Bombyx mori: one gene and its partner. The protein of the gene in region 2 interacts with the protein of the main gene of each other region in a biochemical or structural test. Links are inferred from orthologs where the notes say so. Each region holds a gene or a part of one and is shown on either strand. Other genes may lie near its edges.

What was found.
Region 1: the proteins of Dorsal (region 2) and cact form a complex in vitro, tested with the Drosophila melanogaster proteins (2 studies listed by BioGRID). The link is inferred for Bombyx mori from reciprocal best matches to the Drosophila melanogaster genes dl and cact.

The regions. Positions count from the first base shown.
Region 1 is NC_085118.1:17,178,613-17,183,547, forward strand, and holds the end of cact (cactus), read left to right. Parts: intron 1-1,542; coding exon 1,543-1,755; intron 1,756-2,310; coding exon 2,311-2,388; 3' UTR 2,389-2,914; downstream 2,915-4,935. UniProt on the Drosophila melanogaster protein: Involved in the formation of the dorsoventral pattern. It inhibits nuclear translocation of the dorsal morphogen in the dorsal region of the embryo. Acts as a negative regulator of the NF-kappa-B (rel) signaling pathway.
Region 2 is NC_085118.1:1,076,268-1,082,238, reverse strand, and holds the end of Dorsal (embryonic polarity protein dorsal), read right to left. Parts: intron 5,277-5,971; coding exon 5,092-5,276; intron 4,029-5,091; coding exon 3,799-4,028; intron 3,499-3,798; coding exon 3,343-3,498; intron 3,269-3,342; coding exon 2,129-3,268; 3' UTR 1,965-2,128; downstream 1-1,964. UniProt on the Drosophila melanogaster protein: Embryonic developmental transcription factor. The lateral or ventral identity of a cell depends upon the concentration of this protein in its nucleus during the blastoderm stage.

The sequences.
Region 1 (4,935 bases), about 16 Mb from region 2:
GCGCGATCTCTAGCATCATCACGTCACAGTCTTCACACGACTGACCCCAGCCTGATGTTATTGAAAGTTGAAACGGTTCATACATTATACTCGTTCCGGTAATAAAATAGGTCTATAGTTCAGAAGTACGAACATATGTATATAAATAGAGATATTATTTTACAAAACTACATTAAATATGGAAATTAGTGTGTCAGAATATTCATTGAATATCGTCGCCACGTAAAGTGTTATTATATTGATAATTAAATTAAATACTTACGACCTGAATTCATATTCCAATAAATAAGTAGTTTTTTTAAATATTAAGCAAAATCCCTGTCTTTGCGAACTGATAGATGGAACTGTTCTTATCAGCGACTCTAGGAGAATAAACGAAAGTAGCCCTCAAAGGATCTGATGCGGTTGGATACAGAATCCAAATCACTCACACACTCATTGAATATTGTAATCGAATCAGTTTTTTTTTTTTTGTGTATAATGAAGTAATGCCAATGTCCATAACGGAAAATTCAAAAAGGTAAAACAGAAACAGTCGATTCGGGAAAACCCTCTTTCAGCACTATCTCCTGATAACGTTGATAATAAAATTGGGTTTTTCTGTACGTAAACACGTTTTGTTGTTTTAGTAACGATATAAGCTTGCCTACGTGTATCCTTGTGTCATTGTTTTGTTCCCAACTCGTATGTTTCGAAAAACACAAAGAATTCCCACTGTTTACAGAAAAAAGAGAAATGTATTCAATTCAGCAGTAATTAGTTTCTTGATATACCTACGTTCTTATAATATATGTAGGTAGGTAATATTTATGTAGAATTGTTACAATGAAATAATCTAAAATTTATCGTGACTCATATTATATGCTCGTAATTTTAAATATAATGTCGTTGTAACAGACAACTAAGGAAATTATTTTCAAAATTGAAGTAAACCGTTCGGTCTACGAGCCCAGGGAACATAGTTTGCTGTAGAAGCAGTTACGGATTTGGTCGGGGAACAAACATACCGATATGTAGAAAAAAAAACCGATTTGTTTGCACACAAAATAGATGCTTTTATATATTCAAATAAATATTCTGTATTATTAAAACATAACGCGTAAAAACAGGAAAACCTGAAAATTTACCGCAGTTTCACTGTGTGATTTTATCACGTTATTATTGCTTTCCAAATCTGCGAAAGAGTATATTTTTGTAATAAGTGGGTTTGCCAATGATTGTACATTTATTTATTGCTTAGATGGGTGGACGAGCTCACAGCCCACCTGGTGTTAAGTGGTTACTGGAGCCCATAGACATCTACAACGTAAATGCGCCACCCACCTTGAGATATAAGTTCTAAAGTCTCAAGTATAGTTACAACGGCTGCCCCACCCTTCAAGCCGAAACGCATTACTGCTTCACGGCTGAAATAGGCGGGGTGGTGGTACCTACCCGCGCGGACTCGCAAGAGGTCCTACCACATGTGGCGAGGGTCAGAGAGACGTAGCTTTGGACCCGAGTGCGGTCGTTGAATTAACTTGTTGTGTCTGTGGTGATCAGGAGAGGCTGGCGGGGTGGACGGCGCTGCACATCGCGGCGCGGCGCGGGGACGCGCGGCTCGTGGCGTTCCTGCGCGAGCGGGCGCGGGGCGCGGGGGGCTGGCGCGACCAGGCCGGCCGCACGCCGCGCTGGTACGCACGCCGCAACGCCGCCCGCCACGCCTTCGGCCCGCTCAGACCGGACAGCGACTCCGATTGGGACTCCGATGATGATGTAAGTTAGCTGTCCACACGAATCGACTAGTGGCTATAGATGATAGCTCTATGCCACTCCTTATTTATATCACAAGTATCCACTTGTAACAGCACTGTTTCTAAAATAATAATAATAACAAGCCTGTTATTCCATGCAAATAGTAGGTTACATACCGCCCATACACAGAGCCTCCCAAAAGGTGGACCGACGACCTATTGAGGTTCTGGAATTCACCGGATGCAGGCAACGCAGAACCGGTCGTTGTGGCGAGGCTTCGGGGAGGCCTATGTCCAGCAGTTCACGTCTGTAGGCTGAAAGATAGATAGATATACACATACGTCAGGATGTAACCCTGTTGCTCTCCATCCACATGGACTAATGAAAACTATCCCCACTCTATTTATCATTTTTATTCGGAGAAACCATATCACCCAGATGACTGCAACTAATATTATGTTTACACCCTTGGTGTATTCTTATATAAGTTTGAAGCTGTCCAGTTTCCACGTTTATTTAATATCAGTAGGCATTTCTCTTTGCAAAACTAATAAACTAATATGTCGTTGTCCATAGACGAACGACAGCGACAACGAGAGTCTGTACGAGAAGATCAAGGAGTCCCGGAGCGGCTCGTCGATAAACGTCGCCTAGGACACCAGGACACCGCCCCCTCGCCCCCCGCCCCGGACACAGGCGGACCTCACCCCGCGCCCCCCTGCGCGACCTCAACGCCGCCTTGGATAATGTTATTACGTTCCAATCTGATATGTATCATAGTTTATTAATTTCTATAATATAAGCAGAGTTAATTATGTATATGAAACAGAGTTTGTTTGTCAGTCGTCGATGGTCGGAATGAACGTGTAACAAAACAGCAGGTCCATTTTTACAAAACGAGTTTGCCTCGAAAAATCTGTCCTGTGCTCTCCGTCTCAAATGTTGTCGACATCGAAATGATCGTCGTTAAAGTTATAAAGTTGTTAATGAATCGGACAAGAGAAGCGCCCGGACGGATGTACAGTGTGCTGTATGTAGCATAGCGTATTGTAGTCTTCCTTAGGAAATGTTCAATATTATTGATACTGTATAAATAGATTTGAATACTTCTAGTTAAAGTTACGCTTACGAATAATGTTGTTTAGTCATAGTTATTTAATTAAAACATTTGTTTTTGAAACTTCGCCTTTTCATTTCGAACTCTGTACCTCTGAGGACATTTTTTTCGAGGAAAAATCGTTGGTCGTTTGTGTCGCGATGTGACGTCACAGGGATGATGTCACTATTACATTAAGGGTGCTCCATATACGATCGCACGGAGCACCGACGCGGGCGGGGCCACGGGTCGTGTGCGGACCGCCCTATGCGCATCTGTTAACAAATATCCAGATTTAGATTGGAAAATATTCTTTCAAGAAAAAAAATTTTTGCGATTTTAGGGTCGTCACAACCGATCGTCTCTCAGTTAACTGTTGCATATCAATAAGGGTTTGTTTGAGCATTTAGTACATGCGATGCGATGCGATGCTAAGTCGGCTGCGACGCGATCGTTAGGGCCCCTAGTGGCGGTAAAAATAAATAATGACGTGTATGTAACATACATACTAAAAAAAAAATTATTTATGTACTCTGCGTATATTTCATATGAATATTCATCTATTATTTAGTGTGCATAATTAAATTATAATCTCAAAATTTTATAATTAATATAAATCTTGGTTATCTCAAAGATCGTTCTCATGCGAGTTTTGAAAAACGCAAGTATTTTATTGTAGCTTCAGAAGCTTTGTCTTGCTCGAACTTTTAAGTAAGCGGCAGTTAAGTCAGGGCCTAATTAGACGCGATTGAGGAAAATAGCCAAAAGAAAACAATAAATCTGAATACAGCAACTGTTTTCTATTTCATGTTTTCTCGATTCTGGGAAATTAATATTAAATATAACGTATATAGTACTTGCATTTTTAAAAATTGAAATGACAGAAAAAATATGTTAAGCCGAAACCCCCTTTATTTATTAGTTAATAATATTTATATAAAGACAATAGGATCCGGCGCGCTCTCTCACAGAACCGACTCGACGGACCGCAGGTTCGGGGGTCGCCACGAGCCTCGCCGACGTCACCGAAATACTCTGTACTTTCCAAATTATATGAATCCCACCTCTAAGTTAGATGGAACAGGGAAACAACACATTAAATATTACAACATGTTCCTTTCACATACAAAAATAAAATGTTAGAATGAACGACTAATACGTATTATGTAATGATTATAAATATATGGGTGACAAGTGTAATAATATCATAAAAATATACATTGTATACAGCGGCTAAGCTGCTTGCCGTGTTTATATTGTTGTATGAAAATAAATTACATATATTTTATCAAAATTTGTTTTAATTCGGTTAACTAACGTTCTGTGTGCGCTTGCACATTCTACTTCACGAGTTACGGCATAGTTCAGTTACCAGTTAGCACCTCTAACAAATTTTTATAGGTGTCAGAATTTAGAGACAAGAATCGTTTCTAGAAAGTTCCGCCCGTGCGTCGCGTGGCAGCCCTATGCTCCGTCTAGACGCGATGCTGCGGGCCTCTGATACTATCACAAGTCTGCGCGCTGTATGTCTACGTCATCGAATTTAAAACGAAACCGCGAGCGATGTTTTGTCGTCACTGGATTTGTGTTCGCAGACTGACAACTCACCCGGCGCGGCGGTGAGTAGTCGCTGATGAGTAGGTATCGACCGAGGCGCCGCATTACCGCTCAGGGTTTTATTCAATCCTCGTTTAAAGAGCAAGGTTTTTTTTTCCTACCCAAGCTAATAGCCTTGAAAGGCTATTTCAGCGTAACCATTAGTAGGTGAGCTCACGGGGCTCACACCTAACAACATTGCTAACGCGAACCCTAGCAAGAGCCGTGCTTCGCAAAATCTACCACCGGATCGGAAACATCCGGCGAGAAACTCAGTGGGCTGTGTCTGAGGGTTAATTTACTCGTGGAGCCCTTAGTCGCAAGCGATGGGTTCGACGAGAACGATGACCGGTGCTTGAGGTACCTAAAAGCACCGTTAGTGGATCGGGAGGATCCGTAATGACGTGGAGAGCATATGGTGCTCGCCTGTACGCCACGTCGCAGTCGGTCGACGCTGCGACAGATCTACGATGAACAAACATTTTCGTAAAATAAAACAACAATCCCGA
Region 2 (5,971 bases):
GAGACAGAAACAGACATTATCCATACAATTGTAAACCTTATATTTAAGTCCATATGTCTGTAGATTATTCTTAGCGTATCAGCAGGATACAATTTAGGAAAGAAGTTTCAACTTTCGACCCTAACTTGAATGCAGTATAGCCTATTTGCATCGTTGAATTTAATTTCACGCGCTTTGACCTTGAACTAGAATTTTTGGACAAGTGTTTATAAATACTTAAAAGTTTTTGTGTTTGATTTTTAAAGTACACATTTTTCTATTTTTAGTTGAATCCAAATAATTGAGTTTATTTCTTGTGTTTGTATTAAACTTTTGAAATCTACACTCTTTTGGTATATTTTGTAATTTTAAATTAAGACAAAATACTAAAAACTGAAAATAATGTAGCCAGTCCTAAGCCTGATAAAAGCATGAAGGAAAGTTTTTTTGATATTTTTATTTTCATGTTCTTTTTATTACTTTAAAATCATATTATAAATTGATATCAGAAAACCAACCGTATAACGTTGACTTAAATCTATATCTACTACGATATTATATCAGCGTATCGTTTCAAATCTCAAATATCATGAATCGAGAAAATCTACTAGCATCCATCAATATATAGATTCAATATCCGATATTGATCCTCGATATATAGATACGATTCGATACGGGGTAAAACCGATATTACCCACTCCTACTTCTCATCGAGTAGCCGCCATGCCCATATTATTGTATTTTTCTCATAAACTACTAATAAAATTGACCGCTTGTCTTAGGACATCACTTGAATACACTTCATAAGTACAACATTATAAAAGCGAAACCTACAAAAATAGTTAAATTGATATTTAGTTAATTTTTTAAAACTTTGCAATTGTAATTGGTCCTATTGTTAATTCCTTTTGTATGTAATAGATACATGGGTCCCGGCGGAGGCAAAGATAAATCGGATGATGAAAAATTGTTTGTGTGGCTGTGTGGCGAGGGGGACCGGGGCCGGACATTCCGCCCCTAGTGCGCCCCGCGTTTCCTCTCTATGCCAGCGCATTCGTTGTAGGTGCTCTAAGACCAGCACTGATAATTTAATTTTGTGTTTCATAAGCTCATACCAATCATATTGGAACTGATTTTTCTTTAGAACTTAAAGGTATACCTTCGTTTTAAAAAAAACAACAATGAGAACAACATATACCCTACCCTAATTTTTTACGCAACATTTTTTGTATTTTTTTTTATTCAACACCAAAATATTTGTTAGTAACATCCACTGCCATTAAATAAATAAATCCTAAACTTATATCATATTAGAAGAAAACATTAGTTGTTAAAATAATCAATTAAACTGAACGCATCGTTTTCAATGTAAACTATTCATTTGTGGTGTGGCAACATTTAGGGGTTGCCATGTGCGAAGCACCAATATTTATATTAATCTTATAAATATAGAATGCGGTATAAGATATAAGAATATATGTTGTGTTTAATTATACATAATAAATTTTGTTGGAAATACATTTCTTTTTAAATAAATTTTAAAATAATCAGACAAAGTTGGTGTGTATTTTTTGAGAATTTCAACAGATTTTGTTTTAGTAAAAGTTTATATAAAAATTGTTTCTAACAATCATTTTTTATGACAAAAATGTAAGAAACAAATGCACGACGTATGTGTGGAGTAAATCATAGTTTAATGATGATACCCTTCACCGTATAAATGTAAATAACATGTAATGATACATATTTAAATAATTAATTTAAAAAAATGCGCGGTCCCGTCAGTGAGCAAATTCTACCTTTCACCGTTATTCATGTAAACTATAGAATTTGCTGCAATCGGAACTTCTTTAGATAATAAATCGATAAAAATTGATGTAGACTTACTTTCTTGCTCATACGCGGCCATTAATGGCATTTTGGTCTTCCGCTTTTTACCCAATATGTAATTTGAATCTAAAAAAATTTAAATCAAAATATTAGTCGGACAAATCGACAGTTTCTCAACAATCAAATAAGTATATGAGATATTTTAATTAACAATTTGTAACGAAAACAAAGAAAAACGAAAACTTAACAAAATAAATAGTAACGAAAGCGTAAATTAGACTAGAAGTGGGGGTTCGGGGGAGGGGGCACAGGGAGCCCCTCATTGACGAAGGAAGTTGCTCCCGTCCAGCGGGGAGTAGTACGAGCTCTGGTCGTCGAACTCGGACGCGGTGGCTCGCGGCGCCAGCGCCATGTACAGCGCGTAGTGCTCCGCCTCCGTCAGCTCCAGCTCGTCCTGCAGCCGCCGGAACGACGACGCGTCCAGCGCCAGCACGCTCTCCGCCACCAGGATCGCGTCCGCCGGCGGCGCCGCGCACACCGACACGTCCTCGTGCAGCGACACGTGCGTCACGCTGTCCGCCGCGCGCAGCCCCCCGCCCGCACCCCCCGCCGCGCCCCCCGCCGCCCAGCGCGCCGGCCGCTGCCCCGACACGCTGCTCACGGAGCGCCCCACCGGCCGCGCGCGCGCCTCCTGCACGCTGGGCGCCGGGGACTTGTCGCGCCGCCGGAACAGCCGCGAGAAGAACGAGCGCTTCTTGGCGGGCGGCAGCGCCGGCTCGCTCCGGGCCGCCGACAGCTTCTCGTCGGGCGGCGGCAGGCGGGCCGGCCGCGCCGCGCTCTCCACGGACGTCTGGCTGGACCTGAACTCCGAGGAGACGGACTTGCGGACGCGCTTGGGGGGCAGGGGGGGCGCCTCGTCCGTGTCGCGCTTCAAGGGCGTGAACTCGACGATGGGGCCGCGAAACGTCTGCACGTGCACGTCCTCGTAGGGCGGCGGCTCGGGCTCGGCGATGGGCAGCGGGTTCTTGAAAGCGAGCTGCAGGCTGGTGTAGGTGCCGGCGTCGTTGAAATCGTCGGCGTCGGTCTCGGCGTCGGCGGCGTCGGCGGCGCGCTGCAGGCGACTGCGGCTCTCAGAGTAGATCTCGTCGAGCTCGGCGACCTGCTCCAGCAGATCGTCGAGGCTCTTCTCGTGCGGCTCCGCATGTCCGTTAGTCTCGGCGGCGGCGGGCTCGGGGTCGGGGGGCGGGGGCGAGGGTACGGGGTCGGGGGAAGAGGGGACGGAGACGGCCTCATCCTTGTTGTTATTATTGGTGTCGCGTTTCTCAGCGAGGAGAAGGGAGAGGAAGGACAGGTCCGGGGGCGGCTTACGGCGAGTGGTACCTCGGAAGTCCGGGATGTATTCGAACGCGAAGGAGTTGCTCCGCGCGTCGTCCGTCAACCTCTTCAGCTGGAAGTGTACCTGTAACGGGAGGCGCGTGGTTAGGGGGGCGGGCGGGGGGCGGGGGGCGGCGGGGCGGCGGGCGCGCTACTCACGGTGACGTGCTCGTCGCGCTGGGGGTCGCGGTAGGGCGGCGTGTTGAACACCACGGCGACCTGCTTGTGCACGTAGGACGGCGTCACGGTCTCCTCCCACACTATCTGCTCGTTCACCTCCTGGTAGAATATCACCGCCGTGTCTTCTTTCGATACCTGAATATTGACGCCATTATTGTTATCGATCACTGAGTTTAGAGTTTTGAATGTTTTTTGGAAAAAAGAAAACTTACATCCTACCCAGTATTAAATATTTAGCAGAATGTACCAACACAGTATGATGATACCGCTCATTTTGAGTCGTGAATATGAAGTTCTAATTGAAGTGGATTTTATTTATTGTTCTGGACCCCCTTCAAGGGGGGACCCTTGCTTTCTCCGCAGGAGAAACAGAACGGGCTTCACAAGCTATTCTTGGGCGAGGTAGGGACACAAGACGACAGAGTAGTGACGTACCTTCTCGCAGAGCAGGATGACCTGCGTGCCGCCGCGGATGGTGCCGGAGCAGTGCGAGGAGCGCATGATGAGGAGGTCGCTCATGGCCTTCTTGTCGTAGATGATGTCGGACACGACGGCGGGCAGCGGCCGGCGCATGCGCCCGGCGCCGTCCGGCACGAACACTTGGAAGGCGAGCCGCACCGCGTTGAGGTCGATGCTCTGCGTGTGCGAGCGGTGGTCGAACCCCGCTGTGCCAAACGTACACTTTACATGCACCCGACCTACACTAGCACGTGTCGCCATCCGGCTTTCTCTAGTGAGGCCAGAGGAAGCCAGATGGCAGGCGCTCGGAAGCGGTGCGGTAGGCGCCACTCTCCGACTTTAGATCCAGCATTGCTTTCTGGTGGGCTGTGTGCTCTTCTATGATAAACTTAAATGGCAATAAACAAGATTTTGATATTTATGTCGTTAATTACGAGGAGCGACGAAATTATGAACAACTTGACACGTCTTCATTTGTGTTTTTGTTATTTATTGCTGTTGGACGAGCTCACGGTCCACCTGGTTTTAAGTGGTTATCGGGGCATAACTACAACGTAAATGGCGTAATCGACTTCGAGACATGAGTTCTAAGGTCTCCGTTTTTTTACTGTACAACGGCTGTCCCTACCTTAAAACCGTAAAGTATTATTGCTTCAGGGCAGGAATAGGCAGAGTGGTAGTACCTACCCGTGCGGACTCACAAGACGTCCTGTCACCTCCTCATGAAACCGTCACCATAAATTAAATTTCTATTTATTTCATAAATATTTGACCGAAATTTTGAGTGATCCGGCGCGCCGACCCGCATTTCCTTCCATGGCGGTCGCGCGTGTAGTTGAACAATTAGGGATATTTTTGGACGAGCTATTTCGGGTAACGCATCGGAGCCCGTGGCAGTACAAAGCTAGCAATAAGTTGTACTTTGTAAACAAAATACGTTATACGATCTCAATTCAAAAGCTTTGGTCCCTTCGCGAACCTTACTATACTGGCGCATACTTGTAACAACTGAATGACTGCAACTGGGCGTCTTCTCTCAAATCTGATCTTAATAAACGCACTTTTAGTTCGCAAACGGATTTGATGTTACGAGTCATACCAGACAGACACAGAAAGCAGTATTTTGTATAATGACGTCAACGTTTAGAGACCTTTAAAAATTATATAGCTCGAAACACGACTCTACCAAACTATTTGTGTTCGTGTATTGCGTGACGTGAACGTGTGATTATTCCTAGAATAAAAAAATTGGATTCTAATAGAACTCACTCCTGAAGGGGTCCACCCTGAGCTCCTCCCGGAGGCGCAGCTCGGCGACGATGTCCTTGCGCTTGACGCATTGTATCCCAAGGTTCCTGAACTGGTACTCGTTGTTGTCCTCCGTGACGTCGGTGCGCACCGAGCACACGCCGCGGTCGCAGCGCTCCCGCCCCACCAGGTTGTGCGGGTGCGGTCTGCGCGTCACCACACACGTAACAGGTACATACATACAACTCCGCAGGACAACGCCCAGGGAATAATGCCCTTGTAGGCAGACGAGCACACGGTCCACCTGATGGTGAGTGGATACCGTCGCCCATGGACTTCAGCATTGCCAGGGGCAGACCCAAGCCGCTGCCTACCGCTTAACTCGTTTGAAGAAGAACATGTCATAGCGCTCGGGAAACACCGTGGAGGGGCTCATTCCATAGCCGGATGGTACGCGGCAAAAAAGACCTCTGGAAACGTACTGTGGATGAACTCTATTCCGATGGCGGGCGGTGGGATGGTAAAAACGAGATGACGGTATCATCTCGAACAATTCGAAATCGACATATTGCAACACCGCGAACCAAATTGTGTTATTATTGAAAATTCATTTGTGTATGATCGGAATTCATTGGAAGAAGACCTTGTTCCAGTATTACGTAAGCAAATTTATTACAATCATTCACCCCCCCTTTCCCCTTGTCAGCATAAGTAAACAAAGCTCTGACCCCAAATGCTAACGTGAACATTAGTATATGAATTTTTCTACTAACGTATTCTAATTTTTTTAATGATTAATGAGCAGCAATTATAATTCTAAAAATAAGAAAATAGGCTTATAGGATAGAGTACTTTAACGCACATCATATTCACTTATATGCGCGCAATAATTCCCCTACTC